Linked DNA regions of Neodiprion lecontei. The protein of the gene in region 2 interacts with the protein of the main gene of each other region in a pairwise test. Links are inferred from orthologs where the notes say so. Each region holds a gene or a part of one and is shown on either strand. Other genes may lie near its edges. The genes, in order: ralA-binding protein 1, ras-related protein Ral-a, uncharacterized protein LOC107223499 and exocyst complex component 2.

Region 1 (4,690 bases), on a different chromosome or scaffold from region 2:
ACTCAAGTCGATGATTACACAGGAGACTTTTAAATGCCTCTTCTAGACCTTGATATTTTTATACTGCAAAAGCACTTCCACACAAATTGACCATCAAGATGAAGTACATGAGCCTGGCCGTCTAGCCAGTTGTCACTAAATATTCAAAGATATAATTATTGATGCTATTGACTTGCCATATTCTTCAATGTAATCAATGCAATTTCTTACAACCAATGGAAGCTCCACTCCGTCATGACAACGGCCTCTTTCCACAGCCATTTGAAGAGCAACGCCAAAGATTGGTTGTTCTTCTGAAACATGTTGATCAATAAAGATTGATTAATTTTTTATTGGTATATCACCCCAATCACAGGGCTTCAGTATTCTCTGCAGTTGTCTTACCACCAATATCAACAGTTTCTTCCCAATGTTTTCCTTTTTTGCGATCCTTCAACTTTTGTTTAGATTTCTCCTTATCTTTATCTTTACGTTTCTCTTTGTCCGTATCCTTGTCGTCTTTGTCTTTTTTTTTCCTCTCTCTCTCTTTATCTGTTTCCTTTTCCTTACCATCTTTTTCTCTGGATTTCTCTCGCTTTTCCTTCTTAGATGGGAACTTGAATGTTTTAGACTTTTTTGACTTCGATGGACTCCTAAGAAATGTATACATTAAGAAGTACAATGCGTACAATATGAAAAGATGGCCAAACACATTTATCTTTCGTTAGATATATATACATATAAATTCAAAAACGTTTGTGTAGGATGGGGATTTATAAGTCCCTTTTACATCTATTTTGTAAATATATCGCAAGTCAATAGATGCGATACGCAGAAGCCGTTAACTCATTTGTAATAGTCTCAACCATATAAGATACTAATTTCATATCTAAACCTACAAGAACTGTCTTGAGTGAGTGTGCATAGCTAAATAACATGTGGAAATGTTATTAGGTAAGAAATTAATTGCTTGTCTCTTGTACGTAGTAAATAAAAACTTTTATCACAAAATATAGGTTTGTTAAGTAAATTAGAGCAAGTATAATCAACAAAATTAAGTCACCGCAACTAGAAACAAAGCAGTTGATAGACATATTCGTTAAGCACTCTTATTTTTTTCAAGCAAAAACAGAGTAGCTGGGAATAGTATTTACGTAAAGAAAATATGAGGGCCATGCATCTCTGAGTGATGACAGAAGCTATTAATTTCAGAATCTCAGCCAATCGACAGGCAACAGCTAATGGGCTGCAAACGTAATTAGATCTACCATGCTAATGTTGATTAAGAATATGTAATAGTGAGCACCCTTACAAGGTTTAGCGTGATAGAAAAAATTCACTAAAAGCGATTATGAGGAATTACGGAAGATTTCAAGCAAAACAGAAATCAGTAATTGTAATAGTAGGTTGTGCACCAAAGAAGCAAAGTAGATCTTTTCACGCCAAGCACAAGTTTGCAATATGAGATGTAAGTGAGCATGTTTACGCAAGCCGAAGACAAATATTGCAAATACGTGAGTCAAAATATAATTTCCCTCCATGGTGCACATAATACTTTACGTAATAGAAGTGTGGCTCACAATTTTTATTTTTAACCAAGTACGAAAAAGAGCACTTTGAAATACTAGGATGTTTTTGTGTACTTTTACATACTTCGATGCTCTTTATTTATACTGTCGTAAAAGTGATTGCTTTACATCCGGAAAAGACGTAAAAAAAAGACGCGTAATCCATATTAGTATTATATAAGACACTTTTGTTGCCTTCAATACATCTTCGCAAATGTACATCATTCAGCGATTTGAATGATAATTATTGAAATTAATTCCGTGGACAAATATGTGTTGAATAGCAGGCAACAATTCAATAAACTGAGATATCTGATTGAGAAAGTATCATAATTAGAGATAACATCTGATAGATGTTGTCTTCTATTTTTTCCATGATATACTAAAAAAATGAATATAATTTCTGCATGAAAGGCATTATTACTATAAAGGCATAAGTATTACAATACTTAGTTTCGATGTCTTCTTCTGGGGAGCTTTCACCCTCTAGCGTAGCATATCCACGATCCTTTTTGTCTTTTTTGTCCTTACGTTTGCCAATGAGAAGTTCCTTCTTAGACGGCCTATCGTGTCCATCGTCACTAACTTTCCAACATAAATATTGTTTGAACTAGTGGTTTGTTTGATTTTTAAAACTATAAATTTCAAGTCGAATGTCAGACACTACAGGTGTCATTAAAAATGCTACGCTTCAATACTTAGAACTACACGCAAGTCTCGTGAACCTTGTGTAGCTCTACACAGAAGTTTGGCCTACATGTATATGTCCGTTACAAGTTATATAACTCGATGAAGATTTATTCAACTCTCGAGAAAATTGGGAGATTTATGCCGAAATAGGAACATAGTTTCCACAGGAGGAATGTAATACTATCGCGCGCGCGCGCGTGTGAATATGCGTGTGCGATTTCTGCAAGCAAAAAATGAGCCCGTGCTCCTAGGATGAAGAATCATTAATATCTTACAGTCGCTTTCATTGCTCTTTCTCCCGGATTCCGAAGCGTACAAGCCAGGAAAATCTTTTTCAACATCAGGGCTTTCGAAATCCATCTTTATACAATTATGACTTTTCTTGTAAACGTGTTGACTGTTTGAGAAATCTGCAACCTCCAGGCATGTCGCAATATTCGACAGTTCTTTGTTCCGTCTTTTCCTTCAAAATGATTGTAGGTTTTCACTTGTTTGACAGTAGCTTGACATTGATTGACGGATGCAACATAGTCAGTTTGGTCAGGTTTGGTCGGTGAACAGTGAATCTACAATGAAGACCGTTGGTCAGTCAACGTGAAGATGCAGTTCATACTCTACTAAAGGGCGCTGGCCTTATGGGAGATGGTGTGTCAGGAAAATTGGATGGCAAGTTACCGACTAGGGCCTCGTATAAAGGTCGGACAATTCCAATTTAGAGGCCCTATTTGGTAGTAGGTTTGTTCGTGCTAGCTACACTTTCTACACTTTCGTGGGGGTGTACACTTGCGCGTTCGTTTTAGCGGACGTGACGTCGGATGGCGCTGTTTGTTTTACAAATGTCACTAGACTTTCGTTACACTTTGGCCGTGTTCGAAAATTGACTGACACCACTGTCGGCAATCTTTTATCTCATTTGCGCTGCCGAGTTCATGGACAGCTCTGTCTCTTTCCTAGGGAATTTTTAGTACTGGCAGTCAATTTACGAACACGGCCTAGGTTTGTTCGTGCTAGCTATACTCTACACTCGCGAGTGTAAAAAGAACTAGGGTAGTGTACTAGGGATTGCTGAGGAGTGTGTAACGTCCGACCGGAACGTCCGTATGTTTTATCGATTATTATTACTGCATGTTACTTTTATCAACTAACCAAACTCTAAGTACGAGAATCTTGTAACCATAAGAAATTAAAACAACTGTCTAACTATTTGGAATACCCCTAGATGGAAATAACTATGAAATTCACTAGCCAAGGCTTACAAACCATGTTACGAGATCTTCGTACTACAGAGAACTATAATATTATTATACGTTATTATATATCACTATCACATTAACACTATAATTAACTAACACAATTATACCCAATTATTATATAGCACTCAGCAATGCCATTTGTGCATTCGGAGCTGAGAGCTATACTTAAGCAACATACGCTTTACTATATAGCCTGGAGTATAGAAGACTGTAAAACCATAGATAAATGCATAACCAATATAATGTAAAGATAGCACTGCTGCAATAACCCATAAAACCAGAGACTGCAAAACCATCAAACCGTGAATGCTAATTACCCAGCATGAACTATACCTTCTTCCGCAACGCCGTATTGTAGGCAACACGCGCAACGTTTTGAAGGCAATGCAGATCTCCAATGTGGAGCCATACAGAGCCTTACCTAGAGAATACATTAGGAAACTTACCGACGAAACGAAAACGTTCTAGAAGCTTCCAAGCCGATTTATATCAATATAAGAATTAACAACTACAGAAGGGAATCATATACAAAAGCACACATGTAAACCTGCTCTAAAGCTATGAATCATCAAATTACTAAGTACCCTAAATCTGTTAAGATAGTTATAACACAAACAACTAAAGATATTCGCAGCAGCGTGATTCTAATAATGCTAAACAAATAACAAACTATGTTCATAAACAATTGCTATTGTACTCCAGATTAACAACGACAGTAGTCGACTTTAATACATATGCAATTCTATATAGATACAACTATAAAACTAACAACGACAGTAGTCGACTATAATACATATACAATTCTATATAGATATAACTATAAAACTAACAAACGACAGGTAACCAAAATGAAATATGGGCTTTGTAACGAGCAAGATAGCAAAAACATTCAGAGGTAGACAGGTAGTTAAGTGGCTGACGGGCGCCACAAAGGGGCTGGCGCCACAAAGGGGGCTGGCGCCACAAAGGGGGCTGGCGACACAACGAAAAGCTCACGCAGTTCGGAGAACTACGGAACCAAGTCCACGCACCTACACCACCGCACCAAGCAGCGATATACCATACGTAAAAACCTACAATATAGTAATAGCTAAAGAAATAAGATCACAGGCGTGCATGCGGCGAAGATGTCGTGCCCTAATTAGAATTCCTAGAAAAGAGGGGAGGTGCGCAAAGGCGACCAAAAAACTAGAGAGGGGG
Region 2 (6,238 bases):
AAATTACGGTAATTATATAATATACAAGCATGCTTGCATTAGATATACAAATGACATAATTTGCAACTTGCCAGTCGAGTATAATGACGATGCAATGGAATCAAATGACGAGTAGGTATTACACATGTACAAAAATGATGCAAAAATATTTGCATGTTCAAATATGAGCAGTGGAAATAGTGTGAGGTTCCTATAATTGCAAATTACTTTGTACCAAATTCATCAGAATAGAGGGCACAAGCATTGCACATTTCTTGTGCATATACATATAGGTGTACATTTAAATTAGTTTGTTACGACTGGGCATTTATCATGTATTGTTGAAAACATTACAGCCACTAATGAGTGTAAAAATTACAGCTGCACGAATTGCATCAAATATTCATTTGAAATGGTATAAGCAGATGTCAGGGCCAAATGATTATTATCCCTTTTTGAAGAAATGTGAAATATCTTCATGCCATGGAACAAAGGAGCTATTTATATTATTATACCTCGCTAAGAGATACGCAGCAATGATTTCAAATTATGATCGTTTTTGAATATGTTAAAGTAATATGCAGCAACTTGGTTTCTTCTTCCGTTCACCCCCCTCACCCTGATTTTCTTGAGCCTTGCGTGCAGCTATTGCTCGCATTAGGTCAAAGAATACCTGGAATTATCATTCTTTCAATTTTATAAACTACCAAACAAAAATGGTATTGTGTAGACAAGTTTTAAGTAATTTAAATGGTAAGAATTATTTGAAAGTCAGGTGATATTTCTGTCTGGCAGATAAGTTGGTAAATTTAAGAATTATGTTGCTTGAATTAAAGTTTGACACATGTAAATAAATAATATTATCACTTTGGATCAAAGTTAAGCAGCTATTAAATTCAACTTTCTAACATTAAGAAGCATTCCATTTACAAAAGCTGTACTTTTTGAACATTAATTTTAAGCAAAACTAAATAAAAATTTAACAAAGGTAAAAGAAATTTACAAATCAGCTACAGACATTAAATAATAGACTATTACATTTGCATCAGTACATGGAAAGATACGTTGAGCTGAATTCAATAAAAAAACGGAAGTAAGCAATATGGCATCGCAACAAGGTAACATCAAAATTTTTATGCGTATGAACCATTACAGAAATATTATGTTGAACTTTTATATCATATTATATAGTAAGTTTTTGAAAGTTTCAAAAAACGTTTCCAAAATAAATAAGCATGTATGCTGTAGTTGGATTGCGATACATGTACCAATAGATTTTAGTTGTGAGTAGGTAAGTTTATGCAGAGGGGAAGACTGATGCACTGTTTATAGTATGAAAATACCATATGAGGAGAATAAAAGTGCGAGAGGAGATTGCCAACCTATAGAATAATGCACATCTTTTTCTTTCTCTTGGCACGATCCTTTCCACGGCCATTACTTGCAGATTTATCTTCGATCTTGCGAGACCTTATCTCGCGCATTAGGTCGAAAAATACCTGAAAATGCGCAAGAGATACTCTGTCTCAAGACTTGTAAGCATGAAGCAGATGCAGTCATACAATTTAAACAATAACTTTGCTGAAGTGTTTCATTGATGTAGATATTTGGTTTGTGACTTTTGTATGAAAACACAAATAAAAAACTTTCTGAAAACTTGAATACTAGAGTTCTCAAGTTTGCAAATCGTGTAGAACACATTTAGATTACATTGATATAAATGCCACCAAACGTGTCCATATCTATTTAGTGCAGATGATTAAGCCACAAAATTCATGCAAATTTTATATAAACAAATTTGCTTGGCTGACAATAAGAGTGCGCAGCAAAATGTGAACATATACAAATTTAAGCCTTAGTTCTATAAATAGGGCACTGAAAGCAGTATCTGCAGCAATTGTGTTTACACTTTTATATGTTAAAAAAAAAAAAAAAAAAAATTATTTTTACCAGTTACTTGACAGAACTGACCAAAAGAATAAAGTATGTTGGTTACGCATAAATTTTGCTACGAGAGCTCAATATCTTGACCAGGAAAAGTTTATAGCATACCTTGTCAACGTTTTCTCTTGTTTTTGCACTAGTCTCAACATAGGGAACACCCCACTGTTGCGATCTAGCTTGTGCCTCGGCTAGATTGACTTTTCGTTTTTCTTGAAGATCGCTTTTGTTTCCCACCAGCAGAAAGGGAATGTGATCGTCATTTTTTACTCTCAGAATTTGTTCCCTGTTGAGGAAATTGTTCATTGAATATCAATCAGTTGTAATCTGACACCAAATTTTTTTTCTATTCTAACTTGATAAGACACTGCTGCATGCAGTAACAGAATAATAATAGAGATAGCAAGAGTGAGTCTTCATACGATATTAGATACCCTAATAATATTTCGAAAGGCATAAATGTAGAAACAAGGGTCAAGAGGCAAGCAACAGCGAGGAGACAGCTGCCTTCGAGCTTACGATCAACCATATATTTATACTCTAACTGTTTAGAAATATGATGAAAATTTTCCTTTCCTTGATATTGAATAACACAACTAAGGAGTTATATTAATATTTTTACTCTTACCTAAACTCCTGAGTGGCCTGAAAACTATCATCTTCTGTTATAGAAAATACGCAAAGAAAGCCTTCACCACTGCGGAAATAATTATCTCTAATAGCTGCATAATCTTCTTGACCTGCTGTGTCTAAAATATCTATTTGTACTTCCTCCGCATCCAATACAACAGTCTTCCTGTACGAATCAGCCTTTGTTGGCTCGTAATCTTCAACAAACTAAAATGACACATGGTTGTAGATATGAATGACTAAAAATGCAAAATAAAGAGTTCCACAATTATATTGTGCAACAAGATAGGATCATTTGTGCTGTGAAACTATTGATTACTTGCAGTCTATAACAAAAATAGATTATGTTTCAACTTCGTTATTAGCAACTGACAATCACACAATGATTTTGAGGAAATTGGATCATAAGGTCTAAAAGAAATTTATCAACCCTTTTTTGGCCTTTCTTAACACAAAATTATGGGAAAGTGAAAGTGAAAACAAAATTTATACCCTAAAAGATCAAGTAAACAATATCCACAGCTACTTGATTGTTACTTTAAAATATTCCAAACTATTTCCCAGCCGTCAGAAAGCTGGGGTTCATTGCTGGATGGAAAGTTTTCTTATCATGATTGGTACTACTATCATGTTATTCAGAAAAGGACTGCAACGAAGTGTTTGTTACTCTATGCTGACCAACACTCTCAAAAATGTCATTTCAGATAAAGTTCCCGCCAACGTATTCATGTTTGGCATTATAAAAATCGATACAAAACAGTTTCTTTCGATTGTTAAGTTGAATAGTAACCTATTTACATTACACAGTGTTATACATTCGTTCCAAATGACTGAAATCAACTGAACCTTGTACTTCTTCAAATCTAATTAAAGTTTGAATGATAGCCTGATAAGGGGCTGAAGAAATCACCCACATACCTCGTCGTACATGAACTGTAGAGTCAGGGCGGACTTTCCAACACCTCCGCTACCTACCATTATGACCTTATGAAGGGCCTGTGTGGCGCCTGGTTTTTTAGACATTTTTGTATGTGGAATTTATATCTGAAATATTAATATCAGAATGTAAATGACTGAAATTTGCACATTTAATAATATGTAATTGTTGATTGATTACGCGCATGTAGAACAGAATTTCTCATTATCTGGAGGAAAAAACTCAATACTTTATAAGCTACATGAACTACGCCTCCATTACTATAATAGAGATCTGAAAGATATGGAAATCCTATTGTCAGCATGGGAACCATGGGAGTAAGGTGAACAAATGTTTACGTTTCTCGCATGCACTCAACACTCATTATTGTTGTTGTGTTTGATAATTTTTCTACTAATAAATAAAGACTTTACATTTATGTAAAATATGGGAATTTTCTTAATGTTGATTAATTAGGACACTGAAAATTTTCCTGTCTTCTCCTCTGAGATGTAAATGGAAATTTTACCAATTTTATCGCTGTCAATTGTGTAATATTTAACTATGAATATATGTAAAAACAATCAAACCACAACTACGATATTACGACATACTGTTAAATAATGGTCATCTATTAGAAAGTTTACAAATAATACATTGTTGATACGCGTATCTAATCGACTTTAATCTTGACGGAAAAATGAAACATTGTAATGAGGTTTAGTTGTAACAATGTGACATTGTTGTTTGAAAATAGTTACTGCATCAAATTTGTTGAAACCATTATTACGCATTTAACACCAATTAGTACAGACTTGGAAATTACTTCGATCTCACAATAAAACATCAAGATTAAGGGCGTATTCGTAGGATGAATAACCAAAAGGCGTTGCCGCGCTGTCGGGTGCTAGTTACCAGAGGAAGTCAATATTCGTGTTTCATATATGGCAATGTTTCCAATTTATGAAAGTGTACCGTTATTTTACGGATGCAGGTTTAATCGGCGAATCTCTTGGGGGTATGATTGCAAAAATAACAACAGAAAAATGATTAATTACCTTCAAAAATCGGTCAATCGCAAAGCCCGACGTATCGAACGCTCGCATCCGTGATCCGTCACGCGCTGGTTCTTTATCGAGCCGTTAAAGCGCCAACACATGGCGCTGCTGAGTGTTGAAAGTCGTCTGCTTCTGTCACTCGATCTGTCACCGACTCAGTTTCGGTGCTTTCCCAAAATTCAAAGCTATTGATTATCCCACAGAATATGCTCACAGTTAACTACTTTCAGATGTTGTGGTGAAGTAAAATATTTGATTCAAATTTTCTTCACCGCTCTTCACTAGCAGAATTATCACTTTTCGAAAACGACTTTTCGCTTGCGAAATAGTTTCGCGCACGCGCAGATCGCTATTTGGATGCGCTAATGGACAAATACGGCGCAACAAATTGCGTTGAGGCTATGTTGTCCCGAAATCGGTAGATTCACTGTGATTGTTTTTTTACGCTATTTATCGGATTGTTCAAACGTATAATGGAACCAATTTTGGACGTGCAATAGCCGCCACAATTTACTGTCGGAAAACAAATGTTCCGCCGGTGATAGAGGTTTAGTTTTTACATCATTAATTATCGGAGAAACATATTTTACTAATGTAAACAACACGACCTGGTAGTACACGGATTTTAAATTAACCTACAATATTATTTGACAATGAGTAGCGTTAAGTTAGAAGTTCAGTGGTCATCGATACACCCAAATAAATTCATTACTTGGGGCACCGAAATATGTTTATACGAAGTTACCCAAATCAAAGATAGTGTCAGGCCTTCTTGTGAGTAGAGACCCAAAGCCTATTACAAAACACGTATTGTTGTTATTTCTTGAATATCGCTTTGTTGGGTGTTTATATTTTATTAACAAAAGAATTATTTGCAGGTATTAAGATCTCTGACTCTACAGTCGCCCATTTATTGGCAACGAACACAAACCATCACTATGTTAAATGCATTGATATTTACACCCAACCTGAGCCTGACATTCTATTGGCAGTTGGGCAAGCGAATGGTAAAGTTGTACTAACTACTTTTGGCCCAACGGCATTCGACTCTCTTGGACTTACTGGCAAGGAACTTGGTAAATGAAATTCACCAATAATTGTTCTGGAAGTTGTATTCATTTTCTTCTCTTTTTAAGTTATACGGTATAATATTTTAGCTTGCTTTTTTCTTCTAATCATATCCGTGATCACTTTGCTAGCTCCGAGGCATGCAAGGCAATGCAATACGGTTGCATGGAATCCGGTAGACCCAAATTTAATAATTTGTGGCTTGGATAAGCACAGAACGGATTCTTCCGTTTTATTATGGGATGTCCTGAAAAGTCCAACTGGATCGCATCACCACAGTAACATGCAGGCAGAATCTGTCAGACCTATAGCAGAGGCTGGAGTCTCTGAAACAGCACATTCCCTCGCTTGGTTCCTTAACGAACCAAGATGTTTGGTTGTTGGAATCAATAACAAACATTTAAAGATTATTGATTTTCGAGGTAAGACATTATGGTACTGGTGGTTATTAATTAATTTATTGCCAATGAAGGATAATTGGAACTTCTGCCTTTTATTTGTGTTGATTCAAACATCTTTTTGTATTAATCATCTGTTTAGATTGTGTGAAGGTAGTGAACTCAACGCCAACAAAAGCAGTGTACAGTTTGTCAGTAGATCCTCATAACAATTATCACTTAGTTTCCCATATTGAAAATCAAATTCT
Region 3 (4,564 bases), on a different chromosome or scaffold from region 2:
ATACATATTTTTTGTTATCCTTTATTTTATTCCGGTTCAACGCGTGGGCGAGTGACATTTCCATATTGTAGAACTACAGGGTGGATATACAACCGACCAACCTACCTACCTATAAGGTGCACGTGGTATAGCTCAGATTATTTACTCTGGTTATCTAGTCACTCTCTAACGTTGAAGTAAATAATCGAACGATTTTCTCGAAACGAATACACAGGGGAGAAAAAAGAAAAAACAAAAAAAAAAAAAAAAGGGAGGGAGGAAAGAAACGATAAACGACGAATAAAATTGCAAGTCTGTACAATTGTACGTGTATTTAAAAATTCATTGCGTATCATAAACGTGCCGCTTGTTGAAACGTTTATTCTGCGCATTTGAAGCTCCTCAGATTTCTGAACTATAGTATAAGGTATACGTATATTTATTTTTTCTTGTCGTTTTACCTGCAGCGTCGATTTTGTTATTATTGTTTAATGCAACCAAGCGTTTTTACAAAGGAATTTTGTTTGTTTACCTTGTTTGTTTATTTATTTTTTTTTTTTTTTCTTCCGTGCCTGATATTTCTTTCGTTTTGTAACACAAGTATGTGTACATACGCGTACAGAGAGAGTGATTCGCTAACGACTGGATGGTTTTAACGCGAACGCGCTAAAATTCGAAAGCGACGGTACAGCTTTTCGTTTGTCAGGGCCAACAACATTTTTTAGGTTATTTACGTCGCGGCGAGTCTACGGACAAATCTTGCGAACGTTGCTCATCCTGATAAAACAACAGCTCCTCTTGCTGCGCGAATTTTTGCGCACGCGCGTCAGACCATTCGGTCGTTAGAAATTCACTCTACGTGACATATTTTTGCCCAACTTTTCGCTAGAAATTTTCTTCTTTATTTTAGTAACGAAGAAAAAAAAGAAGAAAAAAACGTATCGTATCACCGTGAATAAATTCTCTTCGTTTCTTCTTTCGTCGTCTCGTGCACAATTAATTGTACAGGCCGCAACCCGATTTGCCACACATACGAATAAAGGGATCGGTCCATATGCGCATGGTGTACCGATTTGCGGAATTTAAGAATCAGCCAATGCGTTGCCAGTGCACGCAACGCCGATGCTTGTCGGCATTAAAATCAGGCTGCGCGCACGCACGTGCGTCGAAGGAGAAAAGCTTGAATCGTGAAAATATATAACCACCAGGCACAGGGTGGAAAGGCGAGGAAAGAGACGAGATTCAAGGCGTGTACGCTTGTAGGTGTAAAAACGTACGTGCAACATAATAGACAATATTATCGTCTACTACGATACAATGCGGCGGGGCGTTTTTCCAAGAATTTCTTTCCATACTGTTGTCACATCTTTTCGCAAAGATATTTCATACGCGCGTGTATATGTTGTACATGGATGATTAACAATATATTTTTCGCGGTATTGGATCACATTTGTTATTATGTACGTAATAATGGGAATACGAATGTCAATGAAACAAGGAATTCTTTAGAGGCGTGTTATTTCACACAAAACGTTGTACTGTCTCAGGTCTATCCGTGTGTATAACATATACCTACGTTATTGATAATCGCGATTCATTGGCGCGAAAATGTGTGACGAATAAGGAAAGGAAGATAAAAGAATTAATCCTGTGTTGTATCGATGTATATGTATATATATATACCTATATACATTATTATATACAAGTGGAAGTGAAGAAATTCACAAGGTTGAAGTTAGAAACATGGTGGAAAACATGACTATTTTCTTATTTTTACAATAATTTATGAAAGAATTGAGATGGAAAAATATTAATCGGTATGTTTTGTTTTTTTTTTCGCGGTTTACTCGATTTCAAATAGTTCCAAAATCGCGAGATAATAACGGTTTTTAATCTCAGCACGAATCGGTTGCGGTAACGTTACTAACTTCGACATGATAGAAATTTGAAAAACGTGGCGATTGAGAAGGATATTGGAGATATTATCGTAGAGAAAAATATGTAACGTAACAGAATTCGATAATTCTGTTTGAACGAGGAGGAAGAATAGATCATGAAAGATCGATGCGGTTTTATTTATTACAATAACGAGACACGCGGAACTTACCGAAAAAATCTTCCCATGTATCGGATCCATCTGAATCAACGACGGTACTCGATCGGACGTTTCCACTTTTGACAGCCTCGCTTCCCATTATTATTTAATTATCCAGCCGGTTGATTTATCGATTTCAATATCTTTTCACGGTGCGTATTTGTGTAACGATGATTTTTTACAAGCAAACGTGGACGCGGGATACGCCTGGTGTCGTTTTTTCATGGAATATGTGGTCGGTTGATATCGGGATATTGATGATAAATTTACAACGCAGATGCGTGTAGGTATATACCTACTTGCAACTTTGAACGAACTTGCAATCACTGCGGTTTTCACAAGGATTACGAAATTATACGATACGAGGATGTTATATATTATATATTATGCATTGTACTCAATCACTGATCACCGATAACGATTAAGAGGGAAAAGGAGGAGGAGGTGGTGGCGGTGGAGGAAAGAAAACGAACAATATTGTCACTGTTGTTATTTATAATCATCACTTGCAGTATTACAAGAATCGTGAATTATTCGGTTTTTTGAAACAACTGTTTGAAAATCAACGAACGAACTGTACAGAATATTGATTAATTTAGTTATTATTTCTCTTCTCTGTTTTCTCTACGAAGTATGTATATTATTATTTACTCGTTTGTTTGAAGAGATGAAAAAAAATTCTTCATTTCTGACGATGATACGCAAGGAAGAAAATTAAGAGAGAAAACTCGAGGATGGACTAGATGCGACAAAGTAGCCGTGGTTCAAGTACAAGGGATACGCAACGACGAGTCCACTGTTGTAATACCGTGCACGCGTGTAAAAATAAAGAAAGAAGGACGTAAAGAGTACGTATCGTGGAGGCAAACGGCGTGCGATGAACGCTCGAGGAAGAACGACATCCCCTCGGCGCGAGGTCGCGACACGGACTAAAGCGGCAGAGAAACAGACGAAACAGTCCTCCTCGATTCTCCGTATCATATACCTATATATAAGCTTAGTGGAGACGCACGTATGTAACCTACGATGCATGCGAGGAGTTGCCGCTGCTGCTGCTGCTGCTGCTGCTGCTGCTGCTGACGATGCCGATGCTTTGCATCCATCCGTCTCACGGTTTAAAATCGACGACGATATCGAAACTTTTAATGACGTTGAGAAGGAGACGAAGATGAGGAAGAAGAAGATGAAGGAAAGACGAAACGGGACGGACCGAGAATCCGTTGCCGTTCACGAACGACTCATCGAGACACGCTGAAACTGAACTGTTGTGCTCCCTGAAATCATATTACTGCAAGATTTTCTCTAACCAGTTTTCCAGCGTTCGTATAAATCGGGGTTATACAAACGAGAACATGCTTTGAGCGTTTTTCCATCCGTGTTTTGAGTACGCGAAATACCCGGTTCTACGACGGAAGAGTCAGTTTGCGAACGCGCATGCGCGGAGGAGTTGAAAAGTGGTCTTTTATTGTACTCCGCGCGTGCGCCGACGCTGAAAAATCTGACGTTGCGCGAACCTAACTTGAATTTTCGTGCTTCGTAGAAAAACGCGTTACACACTTTTGCTATGTAAAGAATCGCGTGGAACAAGGAGGCAACGGTCTTTTCGCCTCGCGTGTTTCTTCATCTACGACTTATATTGCAAACTTAGGCTCGCCCCGAAAAGACCGTGTTTGTCTCTTTTTTACAGAATATGCTATTTTTTCCAATCGCTCGGGGCGATGGTCAAAATCTAGAACTTCGACCGAATTCTGCGTGCCGTAGCTTCAGCCGCCATCTTGAATTTACAGTTCAAATCTGTAAATATCCAACGTGACCAAAAATTTTTACCAAATTGTGATGTATAAAATTAAATTTCTTTCAAGTTTATTTATTGTCATTTTTAATGAAAATAAACGGTGATTAAAATCGGTGATCAGTTATTCGACAAAAACAAATTCTTCCATAAATTAAAAATGGCGGCCGAAGCTATCGCAGAATCTTTTCGAAATTCTGGATTCAAACTTAAACCCTCGACCTCCGCCCCTCCCCCAACGTAATTAGAAAAATAAAATTGTGCCATCGATAAATTGGAATTTCAAACGCACGTTCGATCACGGATCACCGATTAGTCTCGACGCGACGGCAACAGACCGTTGAACTTACGTACGTACAATGATACGAACCTGCCGCAGTTATACGAGTAGTCGAGTCCTAACTCGGGGCAACGCGCTTCGTTCATCAATCCCACTACGTACTCCACTATTCCCCCGTCATCTCTCAAATCATCTCATCTCAGCTCTGCTGCATTTCGCCGCTCGCAATAAAATCTCTTTTATTTCTCCATACTGGACCTCCCTCCGTATATAAGGACGACGCCTCGATTCGTGCTCTCGACTCCGAACGGATTTGTGACTTGAGTATACTATATATATATGTATGTATATATGTACAATACAACGTGCGTTGGAACACTTTTTTTATACATGTACTCTAATTCATCGCGATGAATAA
Region 4 (7,422 bases), on a different chromosome or scaffold from region 2:
AAATGTTACTGTTGCGTGTCTTGGTTTCAATTTTTTTTTTTTATGTTATTTATTATCCTTAAATACAATGTTTTACGATGGCTATAAATATGGTAGAAAGACACTAAATAATTGACTAATATTCCATTTCCTGAAGGTTTTTAAGAATTAAAAATACACCTTATATGTCACGGAGTTACCTATATGCATGTTTTCTGAAATTCTCGAAATGATTTTTTGAAATTGAGATTTCTCTTGACATTTCCAGGTTCTTGAAATTTTTATCTGTTTATATAAATCTTCACATATGTTATTGATCTCTGGTGAAGATAAAGATTAGACCTGTTTTGATTTCTTATTTTTTCACTCAAGGGTAGTTTTGAGGGCATCAGCACAATCGTTATGAGAGAAAGAGTAAAAAACCGAATTTTGTTAAGGACTTACAGTTATGGCCAGTATTTTCATGACTTATGAGAAAAAAAAATCAAAATGAGTGGAACTAAAAATCCCTCAGATTTATGTGATTGGAATAGTACTTGTACTTACCCAACGTCGATGGACTCAACGCAAGGTCATCTTCTAAGATAGAAGTACCATTGCAAGGAGCTGAGTTGTCAATGTCTCCCATTATTTGCTCTAATGCTACAGCGTGCATGTTAAAGTTAGTTGTCAATCATTCGACAATATGACATCTTTTCAAAGACAGTCAGGATATTTATAATATAGAAGCAATTCGATGTTGTCTGTAAATATTTCAATCACTTGATTAGGAAGGATCTAGAAATTGGACTACTCCATAAGTTGTGTTACGTAAAAAAATAACTGCTCATATTTTGCATTCGCTAATATGGACGGGTCAAGAGCATACTTCGCTCAAAAATTTATTAATCGATGTATTGTGTCTATGCCCAGGAACGGTAGAGGACCACAACTCGGCATACTAGGTTTGCACATTTTATTCATATGAATAAAATAAATCCTTTACTAACCTCTATGACGAACGATGATGATAAGGTGGAGTTGATTTAAGAACGGTGAATCATCACCTACCATATTTTATTACCCAGCAGATTGGCTCTGTAAACATTGACACATCAAGGAATACCCTACGATGAAAGCAATTGTACTGAAGGTTACAAGATATGTTTAGTAAAATTGTATGTTATTCTATGAGGTGATATACACGTTAAGGGTTGTTGACTCGCGAGGGGCTGCATGCTTGAAGAAAAAGTGTCATACCGTAATTTAGAGAGATTTTAGATCGCGACACACCGATAATGATTGAAAATAGTTCAACAAACAATTAAAACATCATTTGTCGACAATATGAATACGTCATATTGTTCAGATAGTATGCGAAACTCAAAATCAACATCTCACACCTCTTCCAGTCAAACGACGATACCTTCATAACGTAAAAATATTTCTAAGCGAGACGTGTTATTTTCTTTATGTTCCACTCACACTACGGAGTAAACTCACACACTCACCATCAACCCAGGTGCCAGAGATACCAGATTACGACTTACGACCTCTTACGAGCCGTGGTCAGACTGTCACGATCGTAAGTCAAGTGATGAAAGCCTTGAAAGTTTACTAACTGCTACCTGGTGGAATTTCCTGGAACTTCTCATGCTCCCGTCTGGCTCTCGCTAGATTTCAAACTAAAATCGGTAAAAGAGGATTTCTGATTACATTTGACACCACTTTGACACTGACATGACACTGACATCAACTTGTCTAACCTTTTAACCAACCTAATCTAACCCGAGCTGACATATTCTGGAATCGTGGGGCGGTTTGACAGATAAACCTGATCTTGACCACAAAAATAAGCACAAAATAAGGAATTGATTGGAGACAATTGTCTGATTCATCTGAAATTATTTTCAATGCAGATATGGGACCACCGCCAGTAGTTACAGGGATATCGCCGAAGGAAGGACCACCAGGAACGCGAGTGACGTTGAGGGGCGAGTTTTTAGGAGCAAAAGCGCAGGACCTGATAGGTTAGATTGAACTGTCACTGTTGAAAATATTGGCATTAATTGTAAAAGTCAACTATTGAAAATTGAATCCAGGTATACACATGCTGTACATTTTCCAAAAAATCATCCTATTACAGGTTTGACCATCTGCGGATGCGAGTGTCTTTTGTCAGCTGAATGGAAGTCCCCAAACAAAATCATCGCCCGCTCTGGACCAGGTAAAGGGCGAGGTGATATTATAGTCACAACAAGAAATGGAGGCCAGGGTACTTCGACCGTCCAATTTCGTGGCTATCACGAAACCATTGGACCCATGAAAGAATCTGCTGTATGGGTTGAAGAAGCACCAATGCAGAGCTTGGTATGGGGAAGACGAGCTCTGTCACCTACTAATTATCAGCAAGAGGATCCGTTAGGACTCAGCGTCGAAGGAAATGAGTTAGGAAATGTTCTGCATTCAAGATTACTGCAATAGTAACGAAGCAAGATCTAATCAGAATATATTGTTTTCAGTAAGAAATTTCCTGAGGATGAATTAATTGAGCTATTTGGCGATGGTAGCGGTGAATTGGCCAGTGAGAAGTTTCACCCAGGCTGGTTTTTATTACAACATCATCATGCTACCACCCTAGATGATCTTAAAGCAGGATTAGCTTATCTCAGACGCAAAGTTCACTCACAGAAAGAGGGCCAATTATCTTTTCTCAAGGTGAAACAGGACAATTTCACATCACACAGATACTTTTTGATTCGTTCAACATTCGATCTTCTGATTTACACTTTTGTTTAATTTTCTTCTCCAACAAGTAATTTGTTGATCTTTTTATTTATTTATAGGCGAATGTTGGTTCGGTGATGGAGCAATTAGATACAATTATGCTACTGAAGGAACAGTTTGAGTCAGATGTTCAAAAAAATGGCAAAGATCCAACAGCGAAACTTGAAAAAGCTATCAAAGATTCAATGGCTGAAGCTGACAAACTATTTCATGATGTCTTGGCTCGAAGAGATAAAGCGGATGCGACAAGGAATGCCTTATCTTTGATGCAACGCTACCGATTTTTGTTCTGTATGCCAGTAAACATTGAAAAGAATATAAAGGGAGGGAATTATGAGTTGGTAATCAATGATTATGCCAGAGTGAAGAATCTATTTGGTAATACTGAGTTGGAAGTTTTTAAAAAAGTATTAAACGAAATTGAAGTTAGAATTGGAAAACTTAGAACTGTGCTCCGAAAAAAATTAGAAGAAATGCCGGTCACTTTGGATGAGCAGAAAAAGATCATAAGAAATTTAGTAAACCTCGCAGCTGAAGGTGATCCAGCATGGGATGCGATAGGTATGCACTATTAAATATATGTGAAATTTCAATAGGAAAGTTCATGAACCAGGGCATCACGGGTCAGTCAAGTACATTAGTATTCTATACAGGTTGAAATTCTTTGTGATGTACTGCAATGGTGTATGTTTGTATTTCAGCATCACATGCTCATTATTTAGAAAAAAGTGTGACAGCTTGTATAAACGAGTATTTAGAATCTGAAAACGCTGGTGGTGATGATTCGAGTAAAACCCCAAAGTCAAACGGCTTAACGCCAACCTCGGTCAAACAATTGAGAATGCAACAAAACGAGGAAAATAATGTTCCACCACAGGTTCTATGTGTTGAAGCTATTTGTGATGTAGTCACAGAGCAATTACCAGACTTATGGCGCTTAGGACAGAGTTATTTTACAGGACAATTACACGTAACTGTTGATATAGAAAAACAAATCCCCTTCAAAGTGAGTATTCAAATAATGACTCAGGAAATGCTGTTGACTTTCTAATTTAAACCTTAATACTTGGTATACTTTTTCATTTTAATGCTGAGAAAAAAAATGTTCCATATAAGGTTTTTCATATAGTATGCATGTAATTCGATTTTACACACTGCATCGAAAAGTGCCATTTTATGCACTAATAGTAGTGCTTAAAATCGAATTATTCTACATATACTATGTCAAAAAAGTATCATATGTAACACATGCCTACATTTTACATAATTGTGCCATAATATACTATTTCGATATTTTAGAGCCTGGTTCTATCTAGTATGCAACATGCAGTGGATGCAATGAAAACAGCCTGTGGGACAAACTTGGATGCATCTTGGCTTCTTCATAACTTGAGACGTATCCGACAAACGTATGCGTCTTTAATTCATTTGGATTTACCCAGTGAGGCCTTAGACATATTTGGCAAATACTTATTTGATCTTAGGTAGGTATTCTAATGTATTTGATAGTTTCAAAATGTGAATTAATATGATTTAAAGTGAATAATAAAACATTTGCGTTCAATTCAGGTTACAGTGCTTGGTGGCATTGTTCAAGCAAACCGCAGACAAAATAACTGCCTTACATCGTAAGGAAACATGGAAAATTGAATATCTGAATGAACACGGAGGAGTAACACGACTGGTAATACACTCCGGCACTACATATTTCAAGAGAAATATTCAGTTTATTTATGTTTGACTTACCTTGAATAGCCAGGTCTTTTTGAAGAAATGGTACTGGAAGTGTCAAAACTCGCTCGAGAAACAGTAATAGCTTGTGGACCTCGAGAACTCCCTTTGCTAGCGCATACTAGTCATCAAACTCTGTTTCATAATGCAGTAAAAACACTATTCACTGCTTTTGCAAAATGCTTACAACAGCTGGCTTTCAGTGGAAGTGAAGAAGCTATGGACGATGATGAATCCTCAGTATCACAACTGATTGGTTCTCCAGTTGGCTATAGAACTAGAGACAAGCAACAAGGGCCAGTGAGAATTTACTTTGAATATTTTCATTGCTAGTTACTGTTTTCAATAAACGCTACCAACCGAATTATCACACTTCCTACAGACATGGGAGCAGTGTTTACTAATATCACTGAGTAACATTCGTTATACTCTGAATACAATAATACCACATGTTAATGATGCACTGAAGCAGCATGGTTATCCGCCCTTGTCTTTAACCATGAGTTCGAATACCGATTGGACTCAATTGGATACATTGGATAGTGCCGTATTAGACGCATATTTGGAACGACGCTGTGATCCCCTTGTCGGTACCATAGAACCAAGTATGTACCTAGGTGGTCTAGAATGGCATTTGGACATTGAGCCCTCACACGTGAGGCCTTACGTACAAGAGGCTTTGACTAATCTGATCGCAGTTCATGCAGAGGTATTTACGTTGTTTTCATGTGAAAATATTAAAATTACAGATAATTTGGATTCATTTTATAGTTGTAATTTCATGAAACAGGTACGACGGGTTTCACCAGGTTTATTGAAGAGAGTTTTATCACACATTGTTGAAACAGTTGCTGAAGAATTAGCACGGCTGATGTCTTGTGTAACTCGTTTTAGTCCTTCAGGAGCTGTTCAAGCTAGAGTCGATATTACGTTACTGACAAGTGCTGTCCACTCTTATATTACTCCGAGAGCTGGGTAAATCTTGGTCTTTCTTTTTTGAATCCCAACCGAAGCCCTATTTGTATCAGATTCAAATAAATTTGTGGCACTGATTCGCTTGGGTAGAAATCTGAAGCATAATGAAAATACAACATTTTTCCTACAGGAGCTTTTTCGAAGAAGCATTGGATGCGATTTCTGAACCAGTCTGTAAAGAGGACTCGCAAAAAGTCGACGCTCTATTGCGCAAAGTAGCTTCCTCCATGCGCCTACAACTTGCATGTCTTGCTGACGATTCAGCAGACGGCATTATTCTGAAGGGATCCGATCCAAATCGTGCGACAACAGTTTAACTTCCATTTGGAAATTTGGTAACCACTTTTCCTTCAGTTTATATGATTGACAAATTTTTTTACCAACTTACATGACTCCGCATAATCCCTTCTTATCAAGACAAATAACGTGCTATTAAGTACAAGTGGGATTTACTATTGAGTAAATTGTGCACGATTCACAATATATTTCATGGATTCTTCAAACAGTTTGAAATAGTAGTATAATTATTTATATTTTGTAAAATACAGAGACACAGAACTGTTAGACATACATTTGTTTGCTATGCGACAGCTTCCCATACATAGAAAAACTTGCAGATTATTAGGATGGTGTAAAACTATGTACATACATACAATTTCCACTCACGAAAAATGAATCTTTACGTGGTCTCTTCAACGACTTGCAAGATTCCGGTAGTTCCAGTTAGTAATACTATATCACCTGTAAATAGGAGTGGATAATATAGTTTACAAAAAAAAAAGGAAGCAGTAAAGTTTTGTTTTAGTGTCTATACCTGATATTACGAATAATACTAAGCATCACGATAACTGACTATGATCAGAGTTATAAATACATATTGTAAATACGACTAATATTGCATAGCGAAAATAAGAAAAATAACACAAATAAATATCAGAGAAAACAATTTGGAACATGCTTTTTTCATCACAAACACAAAATTATATTTATGTAGAGCTTGCTTTATTTCACATATTTATATCTGTTTAAATCAGGGATAAAACAAGGGCTATTGCAGGTTTTGTTAAAAATGATAGTTACGAATTGAATAAGTGTACTACTACTCTTTTTGTTTTTGTGTAGATGTTTTGATTCATACATACCTGTACGAAATTTTTGTGTAGCTCCTTCAGCACCAACAATACACGGTAAACCATATTCTCTCGCTACAACAGCTCCATGACTAATGAGACCTCCAAGTTCAGTGACCACACCACCCAATATTGGAAAATAGGGACTCCAACCAATATCGGTGCACTGTGTTATTAATATATCACCAGGTTTCAGTTGTACAGCATCATTTATATTAGTGATAATGCAAGCACGACCTAGGACTGTCCCTCCACCGACTGGTGTTCCTGATACCCGAGCACCTCCCTCACGAATTTTTGTACTGGGCTCTGCCTAAATAGAACAAATATTTTTATAAATATTTAATAGTGTTAAGATTACCATATACGTACAGATTAGACATTACAAAAAAAAATTGGAGGATACCACTTTCTTAATTGTTGTGAACTGATATTATACAGGAAATACTTTTCACTTACCAGTATAGGTTTTAATACACCTCTATTCACTTCCGGGAACTGAATTTTGTCACAGTGAGGATAAAGTCTTTGTCTTCTTATCGCTCTAAAAAACAATTTTTTGTTTTTCAAATTAACCTTATGCTCAGTAATGAATAAGCAAAATACTCACTTTTGCACTAATGTTGGATTTGAACTAATAAATAACAGACCAATTTCCTGATGGGTAAGAAAGAATATCAAATTCATGTCAGGTAGTTGGCCATCCTCGACCATTAGTCTACCAAGTTTTTGGTATCCTAATCTCAAAGCATTGACTGTGGAAACTAAAACAGCTTTTGTCAATTCTCTGCGACTAACGGCACTCCTGTTAAGTGGTATCAGCATCTCCAATATCTTTTTT

Evidence for each region.
Region 1: the proteins of ras-related protein Ral-a (region 2) and ralA-binding protein 1 interact in a two-hybrid assay, tested with the Drosophila melanogaster proteins (6 studies listed by BioGRID). The link is inferred for Neodiprion lecontei from reciprocal best matches to the Drosophila melanogaster genes Rala and Rlip.
Region 3: the proteins of ras-related protein Ral-a (region 2) and uncharacterized protein LOC107223499 interact in a two-hybrid assay, tested with the Drosophila melanogaster proteins (2 studies listed by BioGRID). The link is inferred for Neodiprion lecontei from reciprocal best matches to the Drosophila melanogaster genes Rala and GEFmeso.
Region 4: the proteins of ras-related protein Ral-a (region 2) and exocyst complex component 2 interact in a two-hybrid assay, tested with the Drosophila melanogaster proteins (2 studies listed by BioGRID). The link is inferred for Neodiprion lecontei from reciprocal best matches to the Drosophila melanogaster genes Rala and Sec5.

The regions. Positions count from the first base shown.
Region 1 is NC_060265.1:31,648,918-31,653,607, forward strand, and holds the start of ralA-binding protein 1, read right to left. Parts: upstream 3,032-4,690; 5' UTR 2,913-3,031; exon of another isoform or gene 2,804-2,912; 5' UTR 2,598-2,803; coding exon 2,513-2,597; intron 2,133-2,512; coding exon 1,997-2,132; intron 633-1,996; coding exon 385-632; intron 294-384; coding exon 177-293; intron 1-176. UniProt on the Drosophila melanogaster protein: Participates in receptor endocytosis during interphase, is also involved in mitotic processes when endocytosis is switched off.
Region 2 is NC_060261.1:40,157,452-40,163,689, forward strand, and holds ras-related protein Ral-a, read right to left. Parts: upstream 4,665-6,238; 5' UTR 4,525-4,664; intron 4,404-4,524; exon of another isoform or gene 4,382-4,403; intron 4,378-4,381; exon of another isoform or gene 4,293-4,377; intron 3,595-4,292; 5' UTR 3,574-3,594; coding exon 3,469-3,573; intron 2,758-3,468; coding exon 2,549-2,757; intron 2,207-2,548; coding exon 2,032-2,206; intron 1,479-2,031; coding exon 1,362-1,478; 3' UTR 653-1,361; coding exon of another isoform or gene 548-652; 3' UTR 542-547; downstream 1-541. Other genes in the region: GATOR complex protein MIOS, read left to right, coding at 5,178-5,298, 5,403-5,600, 5,724-6,014, 6,133-6,238.
Region 3 is NC_060266.1:23,906,916-23,911,479, reverse strand, and holds the start of uncharacterized protein LOC107223499, read right to left. Parts: upstream 3,013-4,564; 5' UTR 2,175-3,012; coding exon 2,087-2,174; intron 1-2,086.
Region 4 is NC_060260.1:36,127,329-36,134,750, reverse strand, and holds exocyst complex component 2, read left to right. Parts: upstream 1-1,668; 5' UTR 1,669-1,879; coding exon 1,880-1,988; intron 1,989-2,104; coding exon 2,105-2,405; intron 2,406-2,480; coding exon 2,481-2,676; intron 2,677-2,804; coding exon 2,805-3,306; intron 3,307-3,446; coding exon 3,447-3,751; intron 3,752-4,044; coding exon 4,045-4,229; intron 4,230-4,314; coding exon 4,315-4,429; intron 4,430-4,500; coding exon 4,501-4,776; intron 4,777-4,858; coding exon 4,859-5,185; intron 5,186-5,247; coding exon of another isoform or gene 5,248-5,253; exon of another isoform or gene 5,254-5,266; coding exon 5,267-5,451; intron 5,452-5,581; coding exon 5,582-5,768; 3' UTR 5,769-5,786; exon of another isoform or gene 5,787-6,130; coding exon of another isoform or gene 6,131-6,192; exon of another isoform or gene 6,193-6,307; intron 6,308-6,593; coding exon of another isoform or gene 6,594-6,894; 3' UTR 6,895-6,922; downstream 6,923-7,422. Other genes in the region: uncharacterized protein LOC107225718, read right to left, coding at 526-634; uncharacterized protein LOC107225708, read right to left, coding at 6,131-6,192, 6,594-6,894, 7,041-7,125, 7,192-7,422. UniProt on the Drosophila melanogaster protein: Component of the exocyst complex involved in the docking of exocytic vesicles with fusion sites on the plasma membrane.